2 linked regions of the Diceros bicornis minor genome follow. The main gene of each other region encodes a partner of the protein of the gene in region 2 in a complex. Links are inferred from orthologs where the notes say so. Each region holds a gene or a part of one and is shown on either strand. Other genes may lie near its edges.

Region 1 (14,897 bases), on a different chromosome or scaffold from region 2:
AAAAACAGAAAATGTTAAATTTTGGGAAATAGAATTGTTTCTATTGTTATCCCAATGGCTAAAACTAAAATAAAAATGTTAAAATGAACACCAAAAAGAATCATAAGAAAATAGCCAAATTAACAGCATGAGTTACGGTATTTTTTCTCTTTTCTTTAGTGTGGTTATCAATCTAATTTAAGGCATTATTTTGGCTGAGATTGAAACACTAGACCCAATGCCAACCTTCTGAAAGCATGACCTGTCTAAAACTGGGACACGATGCACTTACAATCCTAAGTCACCTTTACTGTAAACTCACGCACTGCTGACCAGCCCAACTACAGCTATATGACCACGTTTACAGAACACAAATCACCTGCTCACAAGCCATCACACTTAAATGTTTGCCTGTAATTTCACTGTGGTACAGCCAAAAAACTGAGAAGATAAACTCTTTTGAAATCGTAACATTCCAATAAAATTTATGTCATCACGAGCAAAATGTGGGCCCTAAACACATCTTGATAAACATTTTCTAGGATTTATTTCATTCTTATCCTCCCACAAGGACAAGAACAAAACGGAGAGACTTCTAAGCATGAAGCATCATTGGGTGTTGAGCTTGACAAATGGCCATTACATTTAGCTCGTCAGCACCCCTGCTCAGACGTCCCTCCTCCAGGTCTGCTTTTCCTCAACCCGGCTTCTCATAGGCCACCTTGCTCTGCTGGCCACTGCCAGCCTCCCCAGCGTCTCCCCCTCTACACAATACCAGCACAGACCAGGTCCTCTGTATCTGGTACTTCAGATGGCCCAGCAACACAACCACCATCAATGTGGTTCTTCCAGCTCCAACACTAAGCAGTCCTAAGCAAGAACGTGCTACTAGCCACGTGTGAACCTGTGAACTGTCTTCCCCACGCTGGGCTCCACTTGTTCTCATCTATAAAAGGTTGGGGAAGATGATCCCTAACGCAGTGAAGACAGCTGTAGCTGCAGAAGCCGGTACCATGCTTGGTCTGCCCAGATCTGTCTCAATGTTCACATTCAAACAGAACTCTACCTTCTTCCAACCATACTCCTGATCTTAGTTCTGCTCCTGAAGACAAAAACAGAACACAATGCACAGTCCCTTAAATCCTATGAAGGCAAATGTGTCTCCCTGTAAGTGCCTCTTCCACATCCTCTGCCTTTCTCTTAAGGATGTGATTCAAATCCTTTCACCTTCCCAAATGGTTTCCAGTTCACTTTCTTCAAATGTACCCAGAACCACAACATCAAAGATGCAAGGGCCGGCCCAGGGTTGTAGCAGCTATGTTCACCCATTCCGCTTTGGCAGCCTGGGGTTCGCTGGTTCGGATCCTCGGCAAGGATCTACTCACCGTTCATCAAGACATGCTAAGGCAGCATCCCACATACAACAATTAGAAAGACCTACAACTAAGATATACAACTATGTACTGGGGCTTTGAGGAGAAAAAAGAAAAAAAAGGAAGATTGGCAACAGATGTTAGCCAAGGTGGCCCTCTTCCTCAAACAAACAAACAAACAAAAAAGATGCAGCCAAAGGCGCTGCAGGGCACAGCCGACTACCCCTCCCTGGCAAAAGACAAGAAGCTTCTTGGACGGTCTTCAAGACCAGAGAGGGGTTCAGCACTGTGACTGGGAGTGTGCTGTGTCAGGCTGCCTGGGTTCAAATCCTGCATGTTTGTGTGACGGCACAATCTCAGGGAGCAGAGACCCGGTCCTGTCTGGTGGAGGTTGAGCACCTCTATCCCAGTGTGGCTTGGGGCCCACGTATCTGGTTAAGACATTAAGACTTGAGAGCCCCACCCAACCAGAGGATCACAGGACCTCAGCTGACTGTACTCCCCACACCTCGGACCCTTCTTCAGCTCCTCTTTTCTCCCATCTTGAGTCTCAGTTCTATTACTCATCATGACCAGAGCCCCTTGTATTCAAATCCTGGCTGTCATTCAGGAAGCCGGGGCTTCTTGCTCTAGGTCTTGTCTCCTCACCTGTACAAGTGTGGGCATCCTAAGAGCTGTGAGGATGAAATCAGATGGCGTTGGGAAAGCCCCTGGCACAGAAGTGCTCAACAGATGGACTCTAACTTTGTTTCTTCCACATTTGCAGCCTCTCTGCTCATCTCGCCAAAATCACACCACCCAGGAAGTCATGATTGAAAACATACTAAAAATTCAGTACAGGAATTTACAGAAGACTTTCCTTAAAATTTGTTTTGAATTGCTACAATTAAAAATATATCTTCCGGGCCGGCCCCGTGGCTTGGTGGTTAAGTGCACGCGCTCCAATGCTGGTGGCCCGGGTTCGGATCCCGGGCACGCACCGAGGCACCACTTCTCCGTCCATCCTGAGGCCGAGTCCCACATACAGCAACTAGAAGGATGTGCAGCTATGACATACAACTATCTACTGGGGCTTTGGGGGGAAAAAATAAATAAATAAAATCTAAAAAAAAAAAAAAAAAATATCTTCCTTGGGCCAGCCCCGTGGCTTAGCGGTTAAGTGCGCGCTCCGCTACTGCTGGCCTGGGGTTCGGATCCCGGGCGCGCACTGATGCACTGCTTCTCTGGCCATGCTGAGGCTGCGTCCCACATACAGCAACTAGAGGGATGTGCAACTATGACATACAACTATCTACTGGGGTTTTGGGGGGAAAAAAAAAAGGAGGAGGATTGGCAATAGATATTAGCTCAGAGCTGGTCTTCCTCAGCAAAAAGGGGGAGGATTGGCATGGATGCTAGCTCAGGGCTGATCTTCCTCACACACACAAAAAAAATGTAGGAGATGGTTTGGAACAAAAAAATAAATTAACTGGCTCCAAAGGGAAATCTTAATCCATGGAGAACAAAGAACAGCAGGCCTGTGGAAACATACAGTCTATTGACACCCCCTAAAAATCCTAAAGGACTCCGCAGACTGGTATTTGAAAATAACGTAGTCTCAAAAGATCAAAAATGATCACTCCAGGGAACATTATGACTAGCTCCAGAAAATGCCAACATTACTTGTATTTGACACGCCAGAAAAATACAGTCCAAGCTGATTTTCAATAGGACCAAAGGGGGGGGGCCCTCACTGATACACTACCTACCATGCAGGTTCAATTAACTGCATTCCCTTTGATATTGCATTTCAGAACCTTTCCCATGCAGTTTTGTGTAGTTGTAACCAAACTGCATACACAATTTTCCTGCTTTTTTAACTTATCATACCTTTTTCTACGCTTTTCACAAACATCATCTTTAAGGCTGAAGTCTCTAAATCTGACTTTTATAAGCTCTCCTAGCTGTAACAGAAAACCATCATACAAATTTCCTAAAAATGTTTTTAAATCCTGTAAATAATCCCAATAGAGATAAAGCCATGAATAATTTTCAAAAGTGAAAATGACATGAAAAGTTGTTCAGTCTCAACAGAAATTTTAAAACTAAAGGAAGGGTCAGACTCTTTTTGTGCTCTGGCAGAATGAAAAGATGAAAATAATGCCCAGATTGTGAGGAAATGGGAATTCTATAAATAGGTACTTTTCTGGAAGGCAGTCTGGCAAAATGTATGAAAATGTCAAATACGCCTACCTTTTGACTCAGTGATTCTATCTCTAGGAATTTATGCCCAAGAAATAACCAGAAAAGCGTGCAAAGATTTATATGGCACAAGAATGTTAACATCATAAGACTGAAAAATACAAGGTGCAAATGTCTAACAATGGGGTGTTGGTTACAAAATTAACCACCACGGGATTCCTCTGGATTCTTGTGCTGTGGTTTTCTAACCACTGCTATCACTCAATGTGAGTAGTGTATTCAAATTCAATATATCAAAATGAAAGTAGAAATGAATATTGAGGGGCCGGCCCTGTGGTGTAGCGGTTAAGTGCGTGCACTCCGATGCTGGCGGCCCGGGTTCAGATCCGGGGTACGCACCAACTTACCACTTGTCAGGCCGTGCTGTGGCGGCATCCCATATAAAGCAGGGGAAGATAGGCACAGATGTTAGCCCAGGGCCAGTCTTCCTCAGCAAAAAGAGGAGGATTGGCATGGATGTTAGCTCAGGGCTGATCTTCCTCACAAAAAAAAAAAAAAAAAAAGAAAGAAAGAAATGAATATTGAAGTCAGACCTATGTTCACAACATTACGTGAGGAGACATGACACAACGGTATTCTGGTCTCCCTTCAGTGTGTGTATGAGTACACAGAACATCCAGAAGGACCTACCCCAAAATGGTACTTGGAGTGACCTTTATCTTCTTCATCTTCTATGCATTTTCTACAATAAGAATTCTTTGCTACAAGCAAATACTACTATTTTAACAAAGAAAAACATCCCCCAAATATAGGCATTTTAGAAATTAAAGATTCATGTCAAAAAAAATTCACATTCATGATATCAATAACATGTTACCCTAAACTTACCTTTTGCCGTCATTCTCTTTTTATGAGTAAATGTGCAAGACAGTCAAGTGGGCAGAAGCACAAGTAACATCTCCTACTTGGTGATTACCAGGAGGGGCTCTTCTCCCTCCCCCTCCCCCCACCAGGAGACCCAATGCTGGGCCAGCTCAGGCCACTGGGAACTAAACAAGGACTTGCCATCTTGTAAGGACTGTCTGATTTCATTAACAAAGTTGCTACAGGTAATTAAAAAGCAGCTCCCTTGGGACATATATATGGTGATGGACAAACAATAATGTACAACCCAAAATCTCACAATGTTAAAAACTATTAAAACATCAATTAAAAAAAAAAAAAAAGCAGCTCCCTTGGTAAGGTTTCATCCTAACGCAGATATGGCAGGAGAGCTTAAACAAAGGATGCCAGCCCCACCAAGCTGGAGGAGATGGTCTCCAGTTCTCTTGTTATTCTAACCAAAGATATGAAATTTTATTTTCCAGGAGTGTAAACTTTGCATTCTTTTGCTTAAATTTACCAAACTTTAATGACTCTGAAGAGATAAATGCGGTTTGGGGATTAGACCTAGCACAGTGTAATTCTAGCACGTTTCTAATTTTAAAACATTACAATATAAAAAATTTTAGGTTAAAAACAACCTTCACGTTAATTTGTTACGGTCGAAGCACAGGACACTCCACCAAAACGTGACATTAAGCGAATACTGTGGACAGCGTGGTAGATGTTTGGAAGAATTAAAACTCATAATTAGCAGATTGTGGACACCCGACACTACCAGCTTCGTTAAGAAACGAGAGGCGTGTGGAAATACTAATTTCCCCAAGTTAGCGAGGCGTCAAAGCTGAACTAGGGCAGCAAGACAGCGAGGCATTGTTGTCTTTTAATGTCCACGTATGGAAACTTCGGGAGAAGAGGCACTTTCAACTTTTACTCTCTCAGTTAACATGTATACCTAATTTACACTGTAATGCAAGCGGTCAATTTCACATTTGGTAAAGTGATTTTGAACGAACAAACTATATCAAACAGGAATAAAATTTTATTCAACACATACAACGCCAGGGTCACAAAAGAGGAGTTAGTACTGAAATATAAACTAGGAGCGCGAAACCGCACTCACGTGGATTCCAGAAATTACCGAACGCTTTCAAGTGGGTAGGGAGGATTTTTTTGTATGAGGCTTTAAAATGTAGATAGGAGCAAATACAAAGTCATGAAGTTAACAAAATAGGCCATTTCCGTTTATCTAAGCCTCGTTCTATCCTGAGCTTACGTTGTTCGAGTTTTCCAGCAGATCTGGTAACCGACACGCCCTGGGGACGCAGGGGGCGGACACTATCATCTTGTAGACCCTCACCTTGGCCTTGGCACTTCCCGCCTCACCGAGAAGTATTTCACAGAAGGCCCAACGCAAAGCATGAGTGCAAAGGGGACCAACCAGCATCAGCATTTCGGGCTTACTGGGAGCTTTGAAGTTTCCGCGACGCGGGAAATTTCAGCTCAGAACCTCAATTTTCCCGCGACGCTAAACACACGTGAGGACACCGCGCGGCCGACCGAGCCTTGTCGACTCCTCGCTGCGCTCGGCCCCGAGGCCAACGAGACCGGATGCGGCGCGGCCCCTCTGGCGTCCTTCAGGGGCCGCCGCCCGGCCGCCGGCTTCAGGCCTGAGGGGCCAGGAGCCGGGGCCGCCGCCGCCCAGCAGGGGCCGGGGTCCGGGAGCCAGGAGCCCGGGCCGCCGCCGCTCAGCACGGGCCAGGAGCGGGCGGAAGGACGGCCGGTCGGCCGGCGTCCGACGGGGCGCGCTGGGCCAGGGCGGAGGCCCCACTACCTGAGGATGTTGTGCGCCTCCATGCTCCGGTTCTGGTTGCTTGAGCACACCACCGCCACCCGCAGCGGCGACGACGGCATGGCGGCGGCCGCACCGTCCGCGACTCTCCCGCTCCGGGACTCCCACCCAGCCGCGGCGCTTCCGCGCGAGCAAGATGGCGGCCGCGGCACCCGGAAGTCATGACGCGGAAGCGGCGCCGCCGGCCACGTAGCGCGTCGGGACGCGCGGCGCGGGCGTGTGCACGGCGTGCCGGCGGCCTCCCCGCCCCGGCCCAGAGCGCCGGGCCGCGAACGGCGGGACTCGGTCCCAGGGTGCCGGCCGGCGGGGACGATGCTGCTCTGGCGTGCGCGGTCGAGGCCTGCGCTCCGCACAGGGGCGGCCTGCCAGCCCAGCGCCCCGCGCCGGCGTCCTGACGTCACAAGGCCCGGCCCCAGTCGCCGGGAGTGACGCGTAAGGCGCCGCGCCGGAGGCTGTGACGTCCTGAACGTTCCGCGTCGTCGCCGGGCCCGCGGGGACGGTGGTGGGAGATGGCTGTTCGCGACCCGGCGTCTCCCGGGACGGCTCTGCGCGCCCCCTCCGTCCCCGTGGGGCCCGTGGTTCTCTCTCCTGCCGCCCAGGCGCTGCCTCCCTGGGTCTGCGCTGCGCTCAGTCTCAGCCTGTCCCTGGGACCCCCCGTGTCGCTCCTTGCGTGCCCCTGCCTCTAGTCCGAACCCCTGCGCCGCCCCTAGAACGACCGCCACGGCCTCTCACCACCCAGTCCCCGGGCTCACACAGACGTCAGCACACCGCTCTCCGCTGCAAACCGCGAAGTTCAACATTTAAATGAGGTTTTGAAAGTGTGTGGAGAGAGGATTAGAAAGGCAGCGGAGGTGATGCGAGGAGGGGACCCGTGGAGACCTCGTGCGGTGGGAGAGCAAACTGACCAGGTCCTGGGGTTTGTTAGGAGGGCTGCGGGCTTGAGATTTGGGGACATGCTACGACAGTGAAATTAGTCAACACGGTTTTGTTGTCTAGCCGCCTGGATGCAGGCTTGGAGTGGGAGCGCAACAAAGGGTAGGGGGCAAGGGAATTGCGATTTCCTGCCATGGATTCAGAAGTGGGTGACGTGAGGGATAAGGACATGCGAGGATGGCGTTAGTGGAAAGGCACGATGCGCGCCGAGTTGGAGTTCCAGTGGAGTGGAAGAAATGTCACTAGAGTGAGGCGGTGGTAGACTAGGATGCTTGAAACAGGATGTGGAAGTGGCTACTCTTTGAATACCTGTAGGCGAGGTGTGACCATAGGCACGGGTGGAAGTCAGTCTCCCTTTTGGAGAGGAGGTAAGAAACTCAGAAGCCAGGGTGGTGAGGGACCACCCTCACTGAGACTGGTGTCTTCTTGTTGCTCGTGATGTCTTCGTGGAGAAAAAGGCTGAGAACCAGGCGCTCGGAATCTTGAAGGACCTCTGGGCATGATGAGGGTGGGGGAGGACAGTGCATGGCTGCAACAAGGAAGCATTTACTTGGAAAGACTTGGGGGTTTGAGGGATGAATGGAGGAGGACCGAGGGCAGCTTTCCCACCTGGCTTCTGTATATTTGAATGTATGCAGAATGTGAATCCAAGAGGACACACACCACAATGTGGAAGTGAGACAGCAGGTATTTATGGATAGTGGGATTAAAGGTGCTTTGAATGCCCTTTATACTTCTATGAACATTTTTACTTTTTTTTTTTTGGTTTTTTTTACTTTGTATTTTCTTTTACATTGACAACAAATAATAAAACTATTTACATTTTGAAAACAAAACCCCTCCATGGCTTCTCAAGTGTGCTCAATTAACCCGAATTCAAAGGCATTGTGGCCTGACAGTACCTCACCTCTCCCTGCATCCTGTTTAGAACTTAATGGACCAGCAACTGAAAACTGTCCTCTGCCTTTTTACCTCTGCATGTGCTGCCCCACACCTCAAGTCTTAGTCCAGTCATTGAGATTCAGATAGATGCCACCAACTTCAAGAGCTTCCTCCTTCCTCCCTCTTCTCCCTCTGGCCTTTTTGTGCTCCTGACGCCACATTCAACTTGCTCTTGTGGCTCTGCACATTTATTTTAGCACTCTGTGCTCCTCTGCCTCACCACATTCACAGACTCTGAGCTCTAAAGGGCTAAGGCCTCCATTTCCAGCCAAGATGTCTTCACTGCCTTACATCCAATGTATTTAGAACTGATGTCCCTGTGGCGGCACTCACTGATGGATGTATATATATCTTGATAAATATCTAGACACATATATACACACACACACGTACACCAGATATGCAATTTGTAAATATTTTCTCCCTGTCTTTGGCTTGTCTTATTCTCTGATCAGTGTCTTTCAAAGGACAAGTTTGATAAAGTTCTTAAGTTTGATAAAGTACAATTTATCAGTTTGTTCTTTTCTGGATTGTGCTAAAATATCTGATATGAAAAATACCCTGGATGGGATTAATGATAGATTAGACATTGCAGAAGAGAAGGTTAATGACATTGAAGACATACAAGTAGAAATTATAAATGAGACAGAAAAGTGAAACAAAAAAAGGATGAAAAAAATGAACAGAGCATCACTGAGCTGTGGGGCAACTTCAAGCAGCCGATACATGTGTAATTGAAGTCCCCAGAGAGTGAGTTTGCTCGCTGGCTGGTTGGTGGAGGCACTGCTCCTGGCCCAGCTTGAACTCTGGGGAGTTTCCCCTCTAATCCTTTTGGTTGGCTCTTTTCTTGGCCTCATATTTTCCTCACACACATACACTAGACAGTCCTAAGCTATGTCCTCTTTCTGCCCTGTGAGCTCTAGCCATCTTGGCCTCCCAGATCCATTCTCTCAACTCAGGGAGACCACTGGGCCCTGCCTGAATCCCCCTTCTTGCTCCACATCCTGAAAACTCTCCAGGCAGTAAGCTGGAGCAGTCATAAGACTCAACTCGTTTGTTTCCTTTCTCTCAGGGGTCATGGCTGTTCGTTGCATTATGGCCAGTATACTTAGAACTGTTGTTGCACACATCTTGGATAGCTTTTTAGTTGTCTCAGGTGGAAGAGTAATTCTGGTCCCGTGTTAGTTCAGAGTCTCACTAAGTCAACTTGAAAAAGAGTAAAATGTGGAAACTCACCCTACAGATATTAAGATTTATCGAGATTATAATAATAAAGATCATGTAGTACCGTTGTAGGAAAAGACAAACAATAGGCAATACAATAGCCCATAAGCAGACCCACGTATATATGGGAATGTGGTATACGATATGGGGTACCACGTACTGGAAAAGGAGGGATTGTTTCTGTAGGCTGGGTTGGGAAAATTGGCTCAGTGTATGGATATAAAAAGTTGGATCCTCACCTCACACCATATATAAAGGTAAACTCTAGATAGATTAAAGGCATAAATATGAAAGGTAAAATCAGAAAGCCAATCGAAAAAAAGTAGGGAAATATATTTATATTCTTTGGGTGTGCAAGGATTGCTTAAGACCAAATGCATGCTTAGGACCAAATGCTTAAGACCTAGATGCATACAACATCTAGGAAAAAATGATAGGTCTGATATCATCAAAAGTAAGGATTTCGTTTCAACAAAGGACACTACTGACTGTTAACAGCATAGGAGAAAATTTTTGCAACATCCAAAATGATCAAAGATAAGTGTCTAGAACTGTGCTGTTCAATACAGTACCCGCTAAACATATATGGCTATTTAAACTGTAGTTTAATTAAAATTAAAAATGCAGTTTCTCAGTTACACTAGCAACATTTCAAGTCCTCAGTATCCACATATGACTAGTCAGTAGCCACTGACTAGTAGACTAGTGTCTACTGTGGATTGAATTGTTTGTGTGATATTGTGATTTATAAGAAATTTGGTCATTCAGATGACCAAAATATATTTCTCATACATATTTAGTCTTCATCCACAGTTCCTGGCTCACAGCTCCCAAAACCCTTGGAATTTCCTCAGTGTCGAGAGTGGTAAAGGTGTCTTATGTTAATGAGGTGACTTTTGTACCCCACCCAAGGGTAGGGGCTGGTTGCCAGGGGAACCAGCCGTGATCAGAGGGTTGGAACTTGCAGTCCCACCCCCTAGTTTCTGGGGAAGACGGGTGGGGCTTGATGTTGAATCAACAGTTGGTGGTCAATTACAGAAGCTCCTTTGTTCAGGACTTCGCTCTGTGTATCTCTTCATCTGGCTGTTGATTCCTATCCTTTAATGTCCTTCGTAATAAATCGGTAATCTAGTACAAGTTTTGTCAGCCATTTTCTTGAGTTTTGTGAGCTGTTCTAGCAAAGAAGGGGGTCATGCAAACCTTTGATTTATACAGCCAGTTGGTCAGAAGCACAGGCAACAACCTGGGCTTGCGACTCGCGTCTGAAGTGGAGGGCAGTCTTGTGGGACTGAGCCCTCTTGCTGTGGAATCTTACTCTATCTCTGGGTACCTTCTAGTGTCAGAATTGAGTTGAATTCTCAGATACCCTGCTGATGTCCCAGAACTGCTTGTTGGTGTGGGGAAGGGTATGCGCGTACGCGCGCACACACACACAGAAATTGGGTCTAGGAACTCTTTTGCAGTTCACTGAAAGAATACGTTGAAGTCCTAACCCTCAGTACCTGTGAATGTGACCTTATTTGGAAATAGAGTCTTTGCACATGTAATCAAATTAAGATGAGGTCATAATGAATGAAAGCGATAATCCAGTGAGTGGTGTCTTTTTGTGTGTGTGTGTGTGTGTGTGAGAGGAAGATCAGCCCTGAGCTAACATCCCTGCTAATCCTCCTCTTTTTGCTGAGGAAGAGCTAACATCTGTTGCCAATCCTCCTCCTTTTTTCTCCCCAAAGCCCCAGTAGATAGTTGTATGTCATAGCTGCACATCCTTCTAGTTGCTGTATGTGGGACACGGCCTCAGCATGGCCGGAGAAGTGGTGTATTGGTGCGCACCTGGGATCCGCACCCGGGCCACCAGTAGTGGAGCGCGCGCACTTAACTGCTAAGCCGCAGGGCCGGCCCGTGAGTAGTGTCTTTATAAGAGAAAGGAGAAGGAAATTCGCACACAGAGACAAGGAGGAGACATTCAGAGAGGAGAAAGCCACATGACAGGCGTCTTTGGAGACTGGAGCATCCACAAGCCAAAGAACCCCAAAGATTGCTGGCAACACCAGAAGCTGGAGAGAGGCATGAAACCAATTTTCCCTCAGAGTCTTCATGAGGAACCAATCCTGATGACACCTTGATTTCAGACGTCAAGTCTCCAGAACTGAGAGAGAGTACGTTTCTGTTGCTTTAAGCCCCTCAGTTTGTGGTAATATGTTACAGCAGCCCTAGGAAACTAATAAAGCACAGATGAACACTTCCATAATTTCAGAAAGTCCTGTGGAACAGTGCTGATCTAGAATATTTGTGGAACTCTTGAAAATCAAGAGGAAAAAGCAATGGAAAAATGTATAGGGGCCAGCCCAGTGGCGTAGTGGTTAAGTTCACGTGCTCTCACTTAAGCGGCCTGGGGTTCACAGGTTCAGATCCCAGGCGCAGACCTACATACCACCCATCAAGCCATGCTGTGGCAGCATCCCGCATACAAAAGAGATAGCACAGATATTAGCTCAGGGCCAATCTTCCTCACCAAAAAAGAAAAAAAAAAGTACAAAGAATATGAATAAGCAGTGCGTACAGGGGAAATTGAAATGACTAATAAGAATAGTGATGCGCAATCTCTCCAGTAATCAGAAGAAAGCAAATTCAGTTAAAATTGGGTTACGCAGCCATCAGATTGGCAGAAGCTAGAAAATTGGATGATACAGTGTTGGTGAGAAATCAGGGAAATAAAAACCCACCTGCACTGCTGGCAGGAGTGTTAACTGCTTCAGCCGTTAGGAACAAATGGACAATGCTGGCGAAATTCAGTCTCATGTCCCTGAGACCCCTGTCCCTCACCAAGAGGTTCTTGCACAGGCCCCTGAGGAGGGTGGGAGGGTTTTCACGGAAACACTGCAGCTCCCCGAGTTCTTCCCAGGGGCCAGGGCAAGTGACGATGGCGGCTGCATGCACTAGAAACCGCATGTGACGGACAGAAATGATGAAATAGGGGCCGGCCCTGTGGTGTAGTGCTTAAGTTCCCGCACTCTGCTTCGGTGGCCCGAGGTTCAAGGGTTCGGATCCAGGGTGCAGACCTATGCACCACTCATCAACCATGCTGTGGCGGCGTCCCACATACAAAATAGAGGAAGATTGGTACAGATGTAGCTCAGGGACAATCTTCCTCACAAAAAGAAAAACATTTTTGCATACTGCACCATTGATAAACCTCAAGGACATGGTGTTGAGGAAAAATAAAAACAGAAAGTCAACAGCACAACCGACGTAAATTAGAAAGTGGCCATACACAGGGCTGGCCCCGTGGCGTAGCGGTTAAGTGCCTGCTGGCGGCCCAGGTTCAGATCCCGGGCGTGCACCGACGCACCGCTTGTCAGGCCATGCTGTGGTGGCGTCCCACATAAAGTGGAGGAAGATAGGCACAGATGTTAGCCCAGGGCCAGTCTTCCTCAGCAAAAAAAGGTTGGCGTGGCTGTTAGCTCAGGGCTGATCTTCCTCACCAAAAAAATAAAAAAAAAAAAAATGGCCATAATGAGGACACCTCTGAGTCCGAGCCGATGAGGAAGACAGGATGAGGAAGACGGGTGGGCGTGGGAAGAACCTGTTGGACCAGAATCCAAATTGAGCAGACGGATAGAGCTGCCAGGCGCAAAGGAAGGAAACAGTCCAGATAACAGCGGGGGAGGGGAAGAACAGGCTGCTTATTGAACACAGATGACGGCAGAGCTGGGGCAGGCATGAGGGAGCTGTCTCGCCCCCTACTCCCCACCCTTGAGTAGGGAGGCCCAGCTCGGTTATGTGTGACCAGTTGAAGCCACTGAATCACACACAGACATACCAAGGGAAAAACAGAATAAGAAGCATATAACATCCCTGCAGATAAAGAAGGCATGCCAGAAAAAAGAGAAAAACTGAGCATTTCATCACAAGCTAAATGGAGTTAGAAGATGATAAAAGTTGTGAAAGAACACCTTGCAACAGACACGGGGAAAAAAGCTTTACTAAGATCATTGGAAAAAATGAAGATTTGAAGACTGCTGATACAACTTAGAAATAAAAAGATAAGGGCAGGGCTGGCCCCGTGGCTTGGCGGTTGGGTACGCGCACTCTGCTGCTGGCGGCCCGGGGTTTGGATCCCGGGTGAGCAGCGATGCACCGCTTCTCCGGCCGCGCTGGGGCCGCGTCCCACATGCAGCGACTGGAGGGATGTGCAACTGTGACAAACGACAATCTGCTGGGGCTTTGGGGGGGAAAAATAAATAAATAAAATATTAAAAAAAAAAAAAGGATAAGGGCCGGCCCCGTGGCTTAGTGGTTAAGTGCGCACGCGCCGCTACTGGCGGCCCGGGTTCGGATCCCGGGCGCGCACCAACGCACTGCTTCTCCGGCCACGCTGAGGCCGTGTCCCACATACAGCAACTAGAAGGATGTGCAACTGTCACGTACAACTATCTACTGGGGCTTTGTGGGCAAAAATAAATAAATAAAGTTAAAAAAAAAAAAGGATAGATTTCTAAAAGAAAATTAACCGGGGGAAAACCTGGGGAACGAGCTGCACCAATGACTCCTTAAAAGAAAGAGGTAGTGAGTAGCTCCGACACTCCTGCCTTCAGAGGTGGAGCCAGTCCCCCTCCCTGGAATGGACCACACTGCCCCCTCTCAGCCAGCGCTCCCCAAGGGCACTCAGCCAGTCTCCAGAGACGTGGTTGCAGGAGGCTCTGGGTGTCAGGGACCCAGGTCTAGACTCAGGCTGAAGTAGCCAAATTACTCATCCCCCAGGTCAGGGTCTCCAGCAGCTCCCTGGCTATGCCCCGCCCTGCCCAACAGCCCTGCCCCCACCCTGAGATCACCAGGGAAACGCCAGCCCCACAATCCCGGAGAGAAATGTCTCCTCTATCTGCCCTTGATCCTGCCTGCTGCACTTGGTGTCATGTCACCCCACCCCGCCACCCAGCCAGCGCTGAGTAAACTGGCTTCTCCAAAGTGGCCTGAGACCAGAGGAGCAAGCAGCTGCCGGGGGCCGTGGGGAGGGGCCTGGGCAGGCAGGTCTGTATCCCGTATCCTGCATCCTGGTGTCACTGCTGGGTCCCCAGAGCTGGCCACGCGGGGGCATTCAGCACACGTTCACAGAACGATTGTGGATTATTCCCGTTGGCTAAACGAGGAACATGTGCTGCGGATCAGGTCTGGATGAGGTTTGGGGGGTGAGCAGGGAGTCGGAGTTCTATTTTGCACACAGAAGCCAAGACAGTGAGAATTTCAAGGGCCACGTGCCTGGAGCTGGAGGAGGGTCAGGCTGGGGACGTAGCCCTGGGGGTCTTGGCCCAGAGAGCACCTCAAGTCATGGCAAAGATACGAATAACAATGGCTACAATTTATCTCTACCTGTGAGTTAGGTCCTATCACTATTTCCATTTTACAGATGGGGAAACTGAGGCACTGAAAGGCTGCATGGCTCTTAAAATGCAGAGCCAGGACGAGAGCCCAGGCAGCCCCTCAGTGTTTCGGAATCAGAGCAGAGTTACTTCTCTTCCATGACAGAAAATTAT
Region 2 (14,709 bases):
TTATGTCATGTGAATTTCACTTCAATTAAACAAAAAAGAGTAGAAGTAGGGGAGCCATGCAGAAGGCCACTGAAGTCATCTAGGCAGGAGGTAACGATGGTTTGGACCAGCAAAATAGCAAGGGAAGTGGCTAAAAAATGGTCAGGTGCCGTTCACATTCTGAAGGTAGAGCCGACAGTCCTTACTGATGATGCAGATGTGAAGTGTGGAAGTAGAGGAATCATGGATGAGCCCAAGCTTTTGACCTTATTAAGTATTTGCTGGGCAGTCAGCGTGCATGGCAGGGAGAAGGGGCCTGGGAAGTGGAGGGCAGGGCCAGGCCAGGAGCTGAAGACGCCACCGACTCCACCAGGGGTGTGCCCAGGGGCTCCTTGCGCTGCCCCATACCATGCCTCCTCGATGAAGCCGATGACAAACTTGCGCACTTCAATCGACTTGTCTGCTTGGAAAGCGATGATTTCCTGCCAACATCAGGAGAAAGGTGGGTCAGGGCTGTACCAGGATCCATCCCCTTACCGTACACCCACACTCCTACTCTCCCGTCGGTCACTCACATCCAGGAAGTTGTCCAGTAGTGTGGGATCTTTGTTGATGATCAGCTCCTGAACCTGGAAGGAGATTGGGGATGGGGAGGAGGAATACACTCATAAAACCAGGGTCTAACCAGTGCCGACAGGAGTGTGTAGGGGAAAATAGCATGGAGGTCAGCAGCAGATAAACTCAGTTCAAATCTTGGCTCTGCCACTCCCTGCCCCATGGCCTGGGCAAGCAGCTCCCCTGAGCCTCAGTTTGCTGTTCTATAAAATGGGGATCTTAAAGACGAACTCATAGGGCCGCTGAGAGGCTTCAATAAGAAAATTCTACAAGGCGCAGGTCCTGGTGGATAATGGGTCCCTGATACAGAAGTGGGCTAAAGGAAAGAGGGAAGGGCTGCAGGCCTCCCACCTGCCTGAGGAGGGTCTCCTTTCACCTGCCCATCAATTCTCCCCACTCTCCTCCTGCTTCTATGCCCCATTCACACTGCCACAATTCAGAAAGCATTTTATGACAGTAAGAAGCTGCTTCCTGAGCCCCTCCAGGCTCTCTGGAATAAGCCCTTCCCACAGACATTCTCCGATAAGCCCAGTGCCAGCACAGGCCTGGCTCCTATGACCCACAGTGCTGGTGTTGAATGGCCCTCACAGCCACCCCACGAGGGAGGCCCTATCAGTACCCCGCTCTACTGCTGAGGTGGAGTCGGCTAACCCAAGGCCACGTGCTGAGCAAGTAGCAGAACCGAGGTTCTCACCCAGGCAACCTGACCCTGCAACCTCTGAACTCCACCTGCCTCCTGTTCTGAACCACACCCAGGGCCCCCAATTCCCCTTGTCTTCTTTTGTCTTTGCACAGGCTAGTGTGCCCTCTGCTCAAGATGCTCTCCCTCTCTTACTTGGCCTGCTTCTCTCCTCATCCTCCAGGTCTCAGCTCAGATGTCCCCTCTTCCAGAAAGCCCTCCCTGACTCCCCACCCCCTAGGCTGGGTCAGGAGCCCTCTATGGGCTCCTCCATGCCAGCCCTGCCTACTCTGGGCCCTCACTGTCCAGTGACCTGTCTTCCCCATCAGACAGGACCCTGGCAGAGAGGAAATACAAGGATGAAGAGCATAGGATTTCCACCTGGAACCCAGCATTCAAGTCCTGGTTCAGCCAGCCCCTAGCTGAGTGACCCTGGACTAAGTTTTTAAGCTCTGAGACTCGGCTTCTTTCTGTATAAAATGGGAATGCAATTACCCTGCCTCACAGAGATTCTGTGAAAATTAAATGAGAGCATGCCTGTGCTGCACTGCACTACGCTGGCATATCCTAAGTGCTTAAATGTGGACACTAGTGTTGTTACCATGTCTTCTTTCTCAGATTTCCATCCCCCCTCCCCTTGCCCTGCTGAGCCCAGCATCACCCTGTCTCCTCACCTGTTTGAGCACTGTGATCTTTGAATCATTGGTGATCAGCGCTGCCTGGTTCAGGAGATCCACCACCTGGAAGGAGGAAGAGGCAGATGATGGTGCAAGCCTTGCCAGCCCAGCCCCTTCATACTTCCTGTGCTCTGACACCGGGGGTGGGGGTGGGGGGGGCATTGCCCAAAGACAGGGGCTGTGCCTCCCCACTCCAAGCCCTTCTCTTCACGCTCACTCTCTCTGAGGTGGTCATGCCATCGATGCCAGGCCCCTCCTCTTGTGTGAAAAACTGTGATGCCACACTCCGGCGAGTGACGCTGTCCCCACTGCTGCCCGCCATGGCTGCCGTTGGGTAGTCCCTGGAGAAGAGGAGAGATCAAGCTTTGGGCCCCTGTGATGGGCTGGACCTTCACCCCACCATTGCAAAGGGCTCAACCCTCCTTTCCAGCCTGTCCTGTCCCTGCTGGTCTTCTGAAGCACACCCTCGCATGGTGTGTCTCAGACTGTATGTGTACATGAGGGTTGTAAATCTGGGGGAGACTAATGTCTCCCGGGTCAAAGGCAGTACCTCGTGGAGCACCAAGCCGCACTTCCAGAACTTTACACATAACGGGCTGACCACACACATCTGCTGAATGACTGAACAAATGAACACACAGCAGCCAACTCCCTGGTCTCAGAGCTTCCTGTCTCTCCATCTGGGCTGCACTCTGGACTGACACCAGAGCAAGCTTTTATAAAGCAAAGCTCTGAGCAACACCAGTCAAAGTCCTGCACACAGTAACTACTCAATATGTCAGAAAAGGCCTAGTTAAGTAAGTTATGTTTCAGCCATTTTCTGGAATATTATGGAGTTGTTTTTTTTTTTTTTTAAAGATTTTATTTATTTATTTTTTCCCCCCAAAGCCGCAGTAGATAGTTGTATGTCACAGCTGCATATCCTTCCAGTTGCTGTATGTGGGACGCAGCCCCAGCATGGCCGGAGAAGCGGTGCGCGCCCGGGATCCGAACCCGGGCTGCCAGCAGCGGAGCGCGTGCACTTGGAGCGCGTGCACTTAACCGCTAAGCCACGGGGCCGGCCCACGGAGTTGTTTTTAAAAAGGAGGGGGGAGACTTCTGGGCATCTGTCCCAAAGCCACACTGGCAAAATTATGAAATAAGAAGGCTATCAACTACAGCACTATTCCTAATAGCAAAAGACTATCAGAACCCAAATGTTCTTAAATAGGGAGATTGGTTGGAAAACCATGATATATCCACATAATAAAATACCATGCGACTGTAAAAAGGAATGAGGGAGGGGGGAAAAAAGAATGAGGAAGATCTCTCCACACTGATAAACAGTGGGCTCCAGCAAATATTAAGTGAAAACAAGCAAAGTGGAAGACGTTTTCTGTATTCTCCTTTTTTGCAAAAGAAACGGAAATATGTATACATGTTAAAAAAAGAAAAGAACTGAAAGGATAAACCAAAAGGCAGAAATGGGAGGAAAGGGTAAAAAAAAGTTTGGTGGATCTCAATGTATTATCATCATAAAAAGATGTCCCGACAGCCTGCTGCACCACAGAAAAATATATGCAATTTTGTCAAGTTTGTGTAGTATACGCAGAATGACCTAAGGCAAGAAACAGTGGGGTCTCAGTTTCCTCTTCTGTAAAAGAGATAGGAACAGTCTTTCCATCCCAGGACTCTTCTGAGGGGTAGATGAGTTAGGAACGTGAGGTAAGTATAGCTACTATTTTTATGTACACAGAAAAGATCTGAAGGATACTGCACAAACTGTTAACAATAATTTGAGGAGGGTAAGAAGATGCATCTTTCAAAAGGACCATGATGTAATGTATACAAGAGTTACTCACCAGATGTCTGCTGAATGAATGACTATCCAACAGCCTCCTTCCTAGTCTCCCTGCTGCCACTCACCCCCACATCTTGCTTAGGGTCAAAACCAATGTCCCCACTATAAGCCTACAAGACCTTATATGATCTGGCCCCTTTTACCTCTGCCCTCATTTCCTTCCCAGCTTTCTCTGCTCCAGCCACTCTGGCCTCCTTCTTGTCCCCTGAACATGCCAAGCATGCCCACTCCTCAAAGCCTTTGTCCTTCTCTTCCTTCTGCCTGGAATACTCCTCGCCCCAGATACTGGCACAGCTCCCTCCTTCCGCATTTCCTTCAGGTCTCAACTCAAATATCCCAGCAGAGAGGTATTCCCTGATGACCCTACTTCAAATTTCAATTTCCTCTCCCTCCCCAACACCGACTCTTTGAGGCAGGTACTATTTTTTGTTGTTGTTGTTGAGGAAGATTCGCCCTGAGCTAACATCTGTGCCAATCTTCCTCTATTTTTCAGCATGTGGGCCACCAGCACAGCATAGCTGCTGACAGAGCAGTGTAGGTCCACGCCCGGAACTGAACCTGGGCTGCCAACACAGAGGGCACCAAACTTAACCACTAGGCCATTGGGGCTGGCTGGAGGCAGGTACTATTTTTAACCTCCATTTAACAGACAAAGAAATTTGAAGGCCAGGGAGGTAAAGTCACTTGACCGAAGGCTCATAGATTGTAAGATGCAGACCAGCACTATGGGCGCAGAATCTATCCTCTTCAACACTCTGCTGTACGCCTCTCTGAAAGGAAGTGCTTCTCCACCCCAGGTCTGTTCATGGAAGCCAAGGGGCACATCCACCCGACACCAGCATACTGCTGTCCCCCATCAGAACAGAATGAAGCTTTCACGACGAAACTTTCCACTCTTTTCATGATGATAATACTTTGAGATCCACCAAAATGTTTTACTCTCTGTCCTTCCTCTTCCACTTTTTGGCTTATCCTTTTATTCTTTTTAAACATACACATACTTTCCTTTTTTTTTTTGTAAAAAGGCAGCACAGAATAAACACTGTCTTCCATTTCATTTGTTTTCACTTAATATATGCTGGAGCCCACTCTCTATATCAGTGTATAGAGATTTTCCTCATTCCTTTTTCCCTCCTCTCTCATTTTATTTATATTTTACTTTATTATGTGCATGTCATCAGTTTCTTCCTGCCAGTGTCTCTATTAAAGAACATTCGAGGAGTCTGCAGTCGTTTGCTATCAGCAACATGATTGTTTCCTTTCTCTCCCGTGCACTCCTTATGGAGTACCACTCCCCCACTCCCACCTGGGAGTATGACGACTCCCTCTTTTACACAGAGCGGCCCCAGGAGGATCTTTCATTCATTCAACGAACACTAACTGGGTGTCTTCGGTGTGACCAGCACCCACCCAGTCCCTGCCCCCGTGGAGCTCACGGTCACAGACACGATCAAACAGCCGCACCAATACAGGTCCAATAACAAACCAGACCACACGTGACATGAAGGAGAGGAACAGGGACCTATGAGAGCGTTCAGCCTGCGGATTTCGGGACGGAGGGCGGGAAAGGAGGGCCTCGCAGAGGAAGTGACGTCGGTGCCAAGACCCGAGAGATGAATGGGAGTCAGCCAGGCGGAATGGGTAAAAGGGAGACAGCGTGTGCAAAAGGCTGAGGCGGGAAGGCGCAAGGCGAGTTTGAGGAACCGGAAGGCCAGTGCAGCTGTGCGAAGTGGGGAAGGAGCAAAGAGGCAGAGTCGAGGCCGGCGGGGCGGACGCGCCTCGGGGGCCACGTTGGAACTTTGCCTGAGGCCACTGGGCAGCCACGGGAGGGTCCTGAGCAGGGGAAGACAGTGAGGTCCCGAACGTCACTGCTCCCCTCTTCACAGCGCCCCCAACCCCCGACCGGCGCCCCTGCCGCTTCAGGGTCCCTCTTCCTTTCGTCGCCGGGCCCCCACGCCGCCCCCCCGCTCACCGCAGCTCCGGCCTCCGTACCCCTCGCGCCCCCTCAGCAGCGCCTCTTCACAGACGCCGCCGCCGCCATCTTCCGTTCGCCGCCGTGACACTGCGCACGCGCCGCACACACAAGGGTCGCCGGGAAATGCAGTCCACACCGCGGCCCGACCCCGCCCCTCCCTCACGCCTCTCGAGTGGCTTTCCGCCCTCCCCCAGACTACTCCCGGGCGGCTCTTCATTTCCGGCCTCCTGACGCCATCCCTTCTGGGAAATGTAGTCCCTTGGCGGAGGCGCGGGACGGAAAGGGAGCTAGAGGCTTCTGGGAAATGGAGTTCACAGAGGTTCTCAGTCCCTGGACGGCTGGCGTTAGAGGGAGTGGCGAGTTCGGGCGGCGAAGCTCCTAGGTCTTGGAGGTGGTCTGTTGCCCCACTGGGATCTGAGCAGAGGCCCCGATCCCATCCACCTTTGGTCCTGACCATTTACACAGTCTGGAGCATTTCTAGCTGTCGGAAGCTTCAGTCTTCCAGTGCGATCAATGAGAATATGGTTTCGAGGGTCTCTTACTGGTCCTTATACTGGCATATCCGGATCCCTGGAGTGCACTGCGCTCTGAGCCCCCTTTCCTCCGCGGCGGTCATGCCGCGCTCTGGCTATTCGCTTCTCCTGTCGAGATGATGAAACCCCCTGGGGTAGAAGGGCCCCAGAGTTCTGCCCTCGGGGCCCTTAGCATCAGTAGTGTCTCCCACCAGTAGCTCCCTCACTCTTCTGCCATCTCCGGCTCTCGCGTCCCTGGGCTGCGGCTCCCGACGCCTGAGGTCTATCTCTTCGCAATCCCGCAGGGGGCGCCCCAGTCCGAGCGCGCCGCCCTCGGGGAGGCGGGAGGGGAGCCCGGGGCGGGTGAGGGCGGGGGGGTGTCCCGGCTATAAAGCGTGGCCGCCTCCCGCGGAGCCCGGGACGGCTGGGACCCCGGGCGGTCAGACGGGCGTGCCCCGGTCAGAACTCGGGCCGTGCCGGCTGAGAGATCCGAAGCGTTCGGTCCCCCCGGGCCGGAGCGGGGGCGGGGGGGGGCGCAGGCCCGGGGGATGCTGGGCTCGGTGAAGATGGAGGCCCATGACCTGGCCGAATGGAGCTACTACCCGGAGGCGGGCGAGGTGTGTCCTCGGGGATGGCTGAGCGGGAAATGGGGGGCAGGAATCGGGGTGCGGGCTTATGTGGGGGCAAGGACCGCGGTGTGGGCTCAAATGGGGGCCCCAACTAGAGTTTAGGAGCGGAGGAACTAGAGACACGAAGACCAGGTGTAGGAGTCAGGGACGGGGGACAAGGCACGCGAGCGCGGTTTAGGTAGGCTAGTCCGCGTGAGGGCTTAAATGGGAGTCAGGAAAATTTAGGCAACGGTCATGTCAGAGCTTAAACGTCAGGGTTGGGTGTTAGGGACCTAAAATCCAAGGAATTAAAATGAACAAATCAAAGATAGGAATCAGAGCTCCAGGACAGGGGACAGAGCTGGAGGATTAGGAAATGGGATTCAAAATTGGGGGGAAAGACGGGAACTAAGAGATAGGAGAGAGAGGTCACCATTAAGGGAAGTCTGACTTGGGAGCTCAGGGTTAGAATATAGTGTTAAAGGTGGGGGTTCTGAGGTAGAAATCAGAATTAGGGTTCAGGGCTAAGGATCCGGGTAGCAATCTAAGATAAGTTCAGAAATTGAGGTTGGTGCTCGGGGATAAGAGATGGGGATGCTCAGAGAAGAAGCTTGCCTTGGGGAGTCTGAAATAACAGGTGGGTTGGTTTGGGGTTCACATAGGTAGGGGCCCAAGTGGGGTCAGAATTGCGAACCTGAGAGCAGGAGATGTGAGCAATAGCACTGGCCAGAGAGGGATCAATCTCCATTTCCCCCCATGGCTACTTAGGACCCTCACCCCTCCCAACTGAACTTCAGTGGTTTAATGGTTATTAGAGACCCTCAGCAGGAATTCTACTTGTTGGAGGCTGGAGGGTTTCAGATTTCGCACCTACCCCCCTCCTTCCAGCAATCTCCAGTAATTGCTAATGTCCTCAGCAGTCTCATCTCAGACAAGGCCACCCTGGAGTAAGGGGGCGGGAGTATATCTTAGTCCCCTCACTTCAGCAAACAGCAAGTCCTTCTCTAAGTCTAACTCCCATTCCTCTTACTGCAAGGACTCCTTCTCCTTAGCTCACTGTCTCCATAGTCAACATTGCGAAGTGGAGAGAGGGGCAGAGTCCTAGTCAGAGGCTTATGGGGGTCTGGACACTTGGGTTCCTAACCTGGAAGGAGACTGCGGGCTTCAGTGGGGGTGTGGGGCTGGAATGGTTGAGTTCTCCAAGGAGACTGAGATCTGGAAGTTACAGGGGCCCCAGTGTGCCTGAGTCCTGGGTCTGGGGTTTGAAGCTGTAGGGTGGGACTCCTGGATCCCCAGGCCTTCAGAACTTGGCAAGGTGCCCAGGAGGGGCCAGTCCTGGGGCTGCAGAGGTGTGAGGTGCACGTGGGGTGGGGCAGGCTGGCCAGGGAAGGGATTGGGACTGTTGAGAGGTGGAGGTGGGGCGGCTGGAGGTGTCAGTTGTTTGGTGGGGAAGGCAGAGACCAGCTTGGACGTGGAGGCTCTTAGGTAGTGGGGGATCCCACTGGGTTTACCCCCAGAGAGTTCAGACTCTGGGGACATGATTTAAGGGAACCAACCACAAATCTGTTTTGGAGGCACATCTTCAGAAGTAGATTGTGGGGGTCTAGGATGGAGAAGTCATTATTTGGGGCACAGTCTGAAGTTTAGGGGACAATTGGTGTGGAAATTGTGTCAGAAATGGAGGGACAGTCTAGAGATGATCAGCATTTGGGGGCATATTTTGGAAGAGTCAGCATATGGGGGGCTGGAAATGGAAATACCGTCTGAGGGTCTCCCCAGCTTTCTCATCAGCCGAGCCATCTCCTCCCCTTGGGTCAGACCAATGGGAAGAGAAACATCTGGGCTCACTCAGCAACAGAAAACTGAGAGGGCCCCTAAACTGCTTCTTGCCCACCACACCCTCCTGCTAGGATGATGTTGACCCCCGCAGGCTGGCTCTCTGTCTGGAAGGAAATTGGGAAGTTATCACCCTGGGGTGACCCCATTGGCCTCTGGATCTCACAGATCAGCTGGTTCAACTGCTCCCACATTTTAGAGATGGAAAGTCTGAAGCCTCTTAGAGTGTTGGGGGCTGCTTGAGGTCCTGGGCTGGGACTGGGACTAGAAACTAGGCTTCTGGCTTCACACTGCCTCCCTCTGCTCCCTGTCACACCCTCCTCCAGAGACAATAAGGAAATGAAAGGGGAGAAATTCCAGCCTCCTGGGGTGGGGGTGCAGGTCCCCTGAGGGCTTCCCCCATCTCACCCCACCCTGGCGGGGGAGATCCGGCTCACACCCGGACACTGGGGGTTCATCCCAGCCCCGGGGCGTGGGAAAGCCTAGGGTGGATTAGGGCAGCTGGAGTGCTTGAGGTCAGACCTCAAGGAGGACTTCCGGGTGGGTGGGGAGCCAGAAAAGGAGGGCCCTGGGGTCCCAGTCTGTCCTCCTCTGTGATACAAGAGAGTCTGACTGAGCTGGAGAAGTGGGGTCCATCACCATCTGAGTCCATCACCTTCTCCTCTCATCTCTGAAGGACCCTCTTTCCATATTCTGGGGAGGGGGCAGAACCAGCCAACCCCGGGGGAGACCGGTGCATGCGGGCAGGGGAGTAGCTGGGGCTCCAATTTCCATGTGAGACTTCTGGTGAGATGGTGGTGCTGAGGGAAGGAGACAGCTAGATACAAGGATGAGCTGAAGGAGAAAGAGAGATGGGAGGTGGGAGAGGAGTGGGGTAGAGAGAGACAGAGGGAAAGATAGTGCCAAGGGAGGGAGACAGAGATGGGAGAGACAGGTTGGGAGGGGAGAGGACAGGGGAGAGAGATGGGGTTGGGGAGAGTCACAAAGAGAGAAAGGCAGAAGGGGGAGAGATGAGGGAGAGACAGGGGGAGACAGCAGGGAGGAGAGGGAGATATAAAGGGAGGGAGCATGGAGAGGAGAAAGAGAGTGGGAAAGGCAAAGACAGTGGGGCAGCGGGGGGTTGGGGAAATGGACATGGGGAGTGGGAGAGGGAGGGGTGTAGACGTACTGAGGCAGGGAGAAAGATGGACAGAGACACACAGAGCCAACAGGGAGATTCAAAGAGACATGGGAGAAAAGAGCTACCTGGAGACACGTAAAGAAAGAGGGGAGAGTTTCTGATTGGAACTCAGACCTAGGTTGGTTGCCACCTGTCCCTGACTTCGTGAGTGACCCTGGTAATTCCCTTTTCTCTCTGGACCTTGGGACCTGCAGACACTTACGTGACAGGGGACAAGACAGGGACCCATGGACTCATAGCAAAGGTGGCTCCCGCCGGAGCTACAGCAGCAACCCCAGTGCTGGGAGACCCCGGGGCGGGGGGGGGGGGGGGGGGGCAGGGGGAGGGAGGGAGCAGGGCAGCCAGGCAGATGGAGCATTGAGGGAGAGAGGATGGAAGACGGTGGATGAAAGGGGTAGATACACACAGAAAGAGAGAAATCACCGTCCACCACGCATCATATTTTCCCTTGCTTATCTTGTTCATTTCCCACTGGACTATCATCTCCATGGGGACAGATGTTGCAGTCCGTCTTGGTTCCTGCTTGTATAGCATAATCCAGAACACGGATCTGGAGCCAGACTGCCTGGATTCAGAATCCCGGTTCTGCCCCTTCCTTGCTGTGTGACCCCAGACAACCTCTCTGGGCCTCAGCTTGCTCATCTGTAAAATGGGCGTCATAATCCCGTCTCCCCCCAGCGCCGTTGTAAGGCTGAAAGGAGACTTCCTGTGAAGTGCTTGGAGCAGTGCCTGGCACAGAGTAGGTGGCCAATAAATATTTGTTGAATGGGTGCAAGAGTATATAGAGGGTTATTTAGAGAGCCATAGCAATGTCTATCATATTTCATTGAGCTAAGACGCAAGTTTTTTCCCCATTTGAACTTTCTGAAAATGGAATGGGTTTTAGAGTCAATGGTGTCTAGCGATTATAATTGACAGTTTTTTTTCCATTCTCATTGATACTTAAAATAATACTGCAGCTTAAGTGATATCTTAGATTGGATGATATATACCAAATAGATGATATATATTAGGTTGAAACGTGATTTCTGATATTCAAACATTTTCGACCTATAAAAACTATAATTTTATAACCTAAAAGATTCATAGAAAGCTACACATATAGATTAGATTATTAGGTAAATCAGGTCGTCTCAATTTTTTTTTTTTTTTTTTTGGTCTCAGGATCTCTTTACACTCAAAAAATTATTGAGGACCCCACATGGTTTTCGTTGATGTGGGTTATGTCTATCAATAGTTACATTAGAAATTAAAGCTGAGAAATTTAAAAAATATGTATTAATTCATTTTAAAATAGCAACAATTTGTTAGTATAAATCATGTATTTTTATTAAAATAATTATATTTCAAAACATTTAGTGAGAGGAGTGGCACTGTTACATTTTTGCAAATCTCCTTAGTGTCTGGTTCAGTGGAAGACAGCTGGCTTCTTGTAGCTCCTGCTACATTCTGTCTGTTGCACTGTCACATGTCCCTGGGGCCTCTGGAAAACTCCACTGTACACTCAGAAAGAGAGTGAAAAAGGCCAATAATATCTTAGCATGATTATGAAAATAATTTTCGCCTCATGATACCCTAAAAGGGCCTTGGAGACTCCCCAGAGTGTCCTGGACCACACTTTGAGAACCGCTGAAAGTGTGAGCTCCAGTATATGGGAGCGTCGGGGGGTGGGGATGGGGTCAGGGAGGGGGTACATGAGGAGGGGGAAGAGAGAGACTTAAAGAGACAGCTATCTACAGAGAGAGGTAAGGATAGCACCGTCTCATAGACAAGGGAGGACAGACAGACAGACAGAAGGACATGCCGTGGGTCCAGCAACCCTTTGTTGACCAGCAGAATGGAGACTCACTGACCGCCCCCATCTCTCTTTCTCTCCCTGCAGGTCTTCTCTCCGGTGACCCCAGTGCCCACCATGGCCCCCCTCAACTCCTACATGACCTTGAACCCTCTGAGCTCTCCCTACCCTCCTGGGGGGCTCCCTGCCTCCCCACTGCCCTCAGGACCCCTAGCGCCCCCAGCCCCTGCCACACCCCTGGGGCCCACCTTCCCGGGCCTGGGTGCCAGCAGTGGTGGAGGAAGCAGCTCAGGGTACGGGGGCCCGGGACCGGGGCTGGCGCATGGGAAGGAGATGCCGAAAGGGTACCGGCGGCCCCTGGCACATGCCAAGCCGCCATATTCCTACATCTCGCTCATCACCATGGCCATCCAGCAGGCGCCGGGCAAGATGCTGACCCTGAGCGAGATCTACCAGTGGATCATGGACCTCTTCCCCTACTACCGGGAGAACCAGCAGCGCTGGCAGAATTCCATCCGCCACTCGCTGTCTTTCAACGACTGCTTCGTCAAGGTGGCGCGCTCCCCAGACAAGCCGGGCAAGGGCTCCTACTGGGCCTTGCACCCCAGCTCAGGTAACATGTTTGAGAATGGCTGCTACCTGCGCCGCCAGAAGCGATTCAAGCTGGAGGAGAAGGTGAAGAAAGGGGGTGGCGGGACCTCCACCTCCAGGAATGGTGCGGCGGGGTCTGCCGCCTCAACCACCACGCCTGCTGCCACGGTCACCTCTCCCCCCCAGCCTCCAGCCCCCGAGCCTGAGGCCCAGGGTGGGGAAGATGTGGGGGCTCTGGACTGTGGCTCGCCCCCTTCCTCCGCCCCCTATTTCACTGGCCTGGAGCTCCCAGGGGAGCTGAAGCTGGATGCGCCTTACAACTTCAACCACCCTTTCTCCATCAACAACCTGATGTCGGAACAGACACCGGCGCCTCCCAAACTGGACGTGGGGTTTGGGGGCTACGGGGCAGAGGGTGGGGAGCCTGGAGTCTACTACCAGGGCCTCTATTCCCGCTCTCTGCTTAATGCGTCCTAGCAGGGGGGTGGGAGCATGGTGGGTGGGGTATGGCTGCAGCTCACACCATCAGGCTCTTGGGGCCTGATCCTTCTGGTGACACTTTGCTTGTCCCATCAGTTAACATCTAGGTTGGTCTATTACCTACTGTGGTGACTGCCGTCTCTGTGGGCGTCGTGTCGATCCATTGGGTACTGTGATAACTGCCATTGACATCTTGGTGGGCCCACTGGGTACTGCGAAGACTGCCATGTTGATCGATGTTATTGGTTGATCCATTGGGTGCTCTGATGGCCACCATCTGGGATGACATCTTGGTTGGCCCTTTGGGCACTGTGATGGACATTCTCTTGGCTGACCCTTTGAGTGTGATGGTGATACCATTTCAATTACATCTTCTTTGGCCCATTGGGTGCTGTGATCATTTCTTTTTTGGTGGACTTCTTGGCATAGAAGGTGTCAAGTTGGCCACCACCTTGCATAACCTCTTTTTTGGCCCACTGAGTGCTACGATGGCCACCATCTTGGCTGGCTGACATAACCAGTGTACCATTGTGCACTGTGACGGCCACTACAGCCCCTGTGTTGGCCATATCGTTACTGTCTCTTTGGTGTGATTTGAGTGAGGGATGGAGATGAGAATCCTCCTTGGTTTTGTCTGGAGCCCATTACCCCGTTTGGTCCAGGAGAAGCCAGAAAGGACTGGTTAGGGTGTGGGGAATTTCTACTGAAGTCTGGTTCTTGCCTGGGAAGTGGGATACTGGCTGTGTTTGACCATTAAAGGCACCAATTCTGCCTCTTACTGAATGTCTCTTTTCCTTGGCCGGTGGGCCCTGTGGGGCTTGAACACCTGAATTGCTGTTCCCTGTCCCCTCTCCTTCCTGCCCCCAAGAGCTGGCTGCCCTAGGGGAGGGCTTAGGGGAGGCATCGACCTAACCTTTGGCTCTTTGCTGTCCGTGATCCCAAGGACAGTTTGCTCACAGATAGCAGCCCCCGCAGCGGTGGGGCCAGGGCAGCAGGGGGAGGTGGCTCTGCAGTGACCAAGGCCATCTCCCCACCCCCACTCCCTAGACACACACCTCTAGCTCTGAGGCTCAGGGAGCCCAGAGGCTGCTCAAGTTTTGGTTAAGCTAGGGAGGAGGAGAAGGGACAAACTAGGTGTTAATTGAAGGAGACTGTGTGTTGGTCTTATCTGTGAGTGTGCGCGTGCGCCTCTGTGGGTCACAGGATATCACCCTGCCTATTGAGGTCCCTGTGGTCTGCCTCAGGGTGTTATTATCTATTGTTTGTATCCCTCAATTGTGTGGGTTTGTGCATCTGTTCATCTCTGGGTGTGTGCTCACTGTGGGTGTCTAGGGGTATCAGATTCGTGCATGTGTATTTATTGTTGTGAGTGTGTGGTTCTCTTTGTCCACCTATCCCTGGGGCCCTCTGGGTCTCACACTCTTAGATGTGTGTCTCTGTAACAGTTTGTCTGCACACCCCCTGCCTCAAAGGGTCTGCATGTGACTACATCAGTGTTGCGGGTCTGCCTGTTACTGTGTGTTTCATGTGTATCTCTGTGAGTCAGCGTCTAAGAGAAAGTATGTCCGTGTTTGCGCATTACGCCTGTCTTTGCTGTGTGCCTGTCACTGTTGTGCGGGGAGTCTGCTGGCCCTGGTGTGTGTCCGTCATTTTTGCAGGTGGGTGTGTGGGGAAGGAGCTGGGTCCCCCTTCGGCCACTGGGTTTGGGTGTCTCTGTGCCTAGTCTCTGGATCTGATGTCTGTCGCTCAGATGTTCTGAGGACATGGCTCTCTCAGAAACACAACTGGGTACTTCACGCCGCTCATTTCACAGAGTAGAAACTGAGGCCCAGAATGGGAAGGGACTGGGCCAAGGCATTCAGCCAGGCTGGAGCAGGCGGGCAGGGTTGTCTGATCTTTTCCTTATTTTCCATTTGTGTTTCTTGGTCGTTGGCTCTCTAGC

The links.
Region 1: the proteins of SYMPK (region 2) and SSU72 are in contact, whole or in part, in a crystal structure (PDB 4H3K), measured with the Homo sapiens proteins. The link is inferred for Diceros bicornis minor from reciprocal best matches to the Homo sapiens genes SYMPK and SSU72. Residues at the interface, in NP_004810.2 of Homo sapiens: Val123, Lys127, Leu131, Gln135, Asp175, Asn176, Asp177, Gly178, Thr181, His182, Lys185, Glu188, Pro204, Arg205, Arg206, Gln207, Ser250, Ile251, Thr254, Thr255, Asn262, Ala290, Ser292, Gln293, Ser295, Ser296, Lys299, Asn300, Leu303, His304; in NP_054907.1 of Homo sapiens: Glu113, Tyr116, Asp117, Val120, Asn124, Glu127, Gln128, Glu129, Thr130, Cys131, Gln132, Pro133, His135, Asp167, Glu169, Asn170, Asp173, Gln177, Glu180, Thr186, Phe187, Leu188, His189, Thr190, Val191, Phe193.

Annotation. Positions count from the first base shown.
Region 1 is NC_080752.1:22,445,385-22,460,281, forward strand, and holds the start of SSU72 (RNA polymerase II subunit A C-terminal domain phosphatase SSU72), read right to left. Parts: upstream 6,517-14,897; 5' UTR 6,330-6,516; coding exon 6,250-6,329; intron 1-6,249. UniProt on the Homo sapiens protein: Protein phosphatase that catalyzes the dephosphorylation of the C-terminal domain of RNA polymerase II. Plays a role in RNA processing and termination. Plays a role in pre-mRNA polyadenylation via its interaction with SYMPK.
Region 2 is NC_080773.1:20,034,349-20,049,057, forward strand, and holds the start of SYMPK (symplekin), read right to left. Parts: upstream 5,838-14,709; 5' UTR 5,763-5,837; intron 2,292-5,762; 5' UTR 2,273-2,291; coding exon 2,168-2,272; intron 2,014-2,167; coding exon 1,948-2,013; intron 609-1,947; coding exon 555-608; intron 462-554; coding exon 388-461; intron 1-387. Other genes in the region: FOXA3 (hepatocyte nuclear factor 3-gamma), read left to right, coding at 6,826-6,894, 11,784-12,764. UniProt on the Homo sapiens protein: Scaffold protein that functions as a component of a multimolecular complex involved in histone mRNA 3'-end processing. Specific component of the tight junction (TJ) plaque, but might not be an exclusively junctional component. May have a house-keeping rule.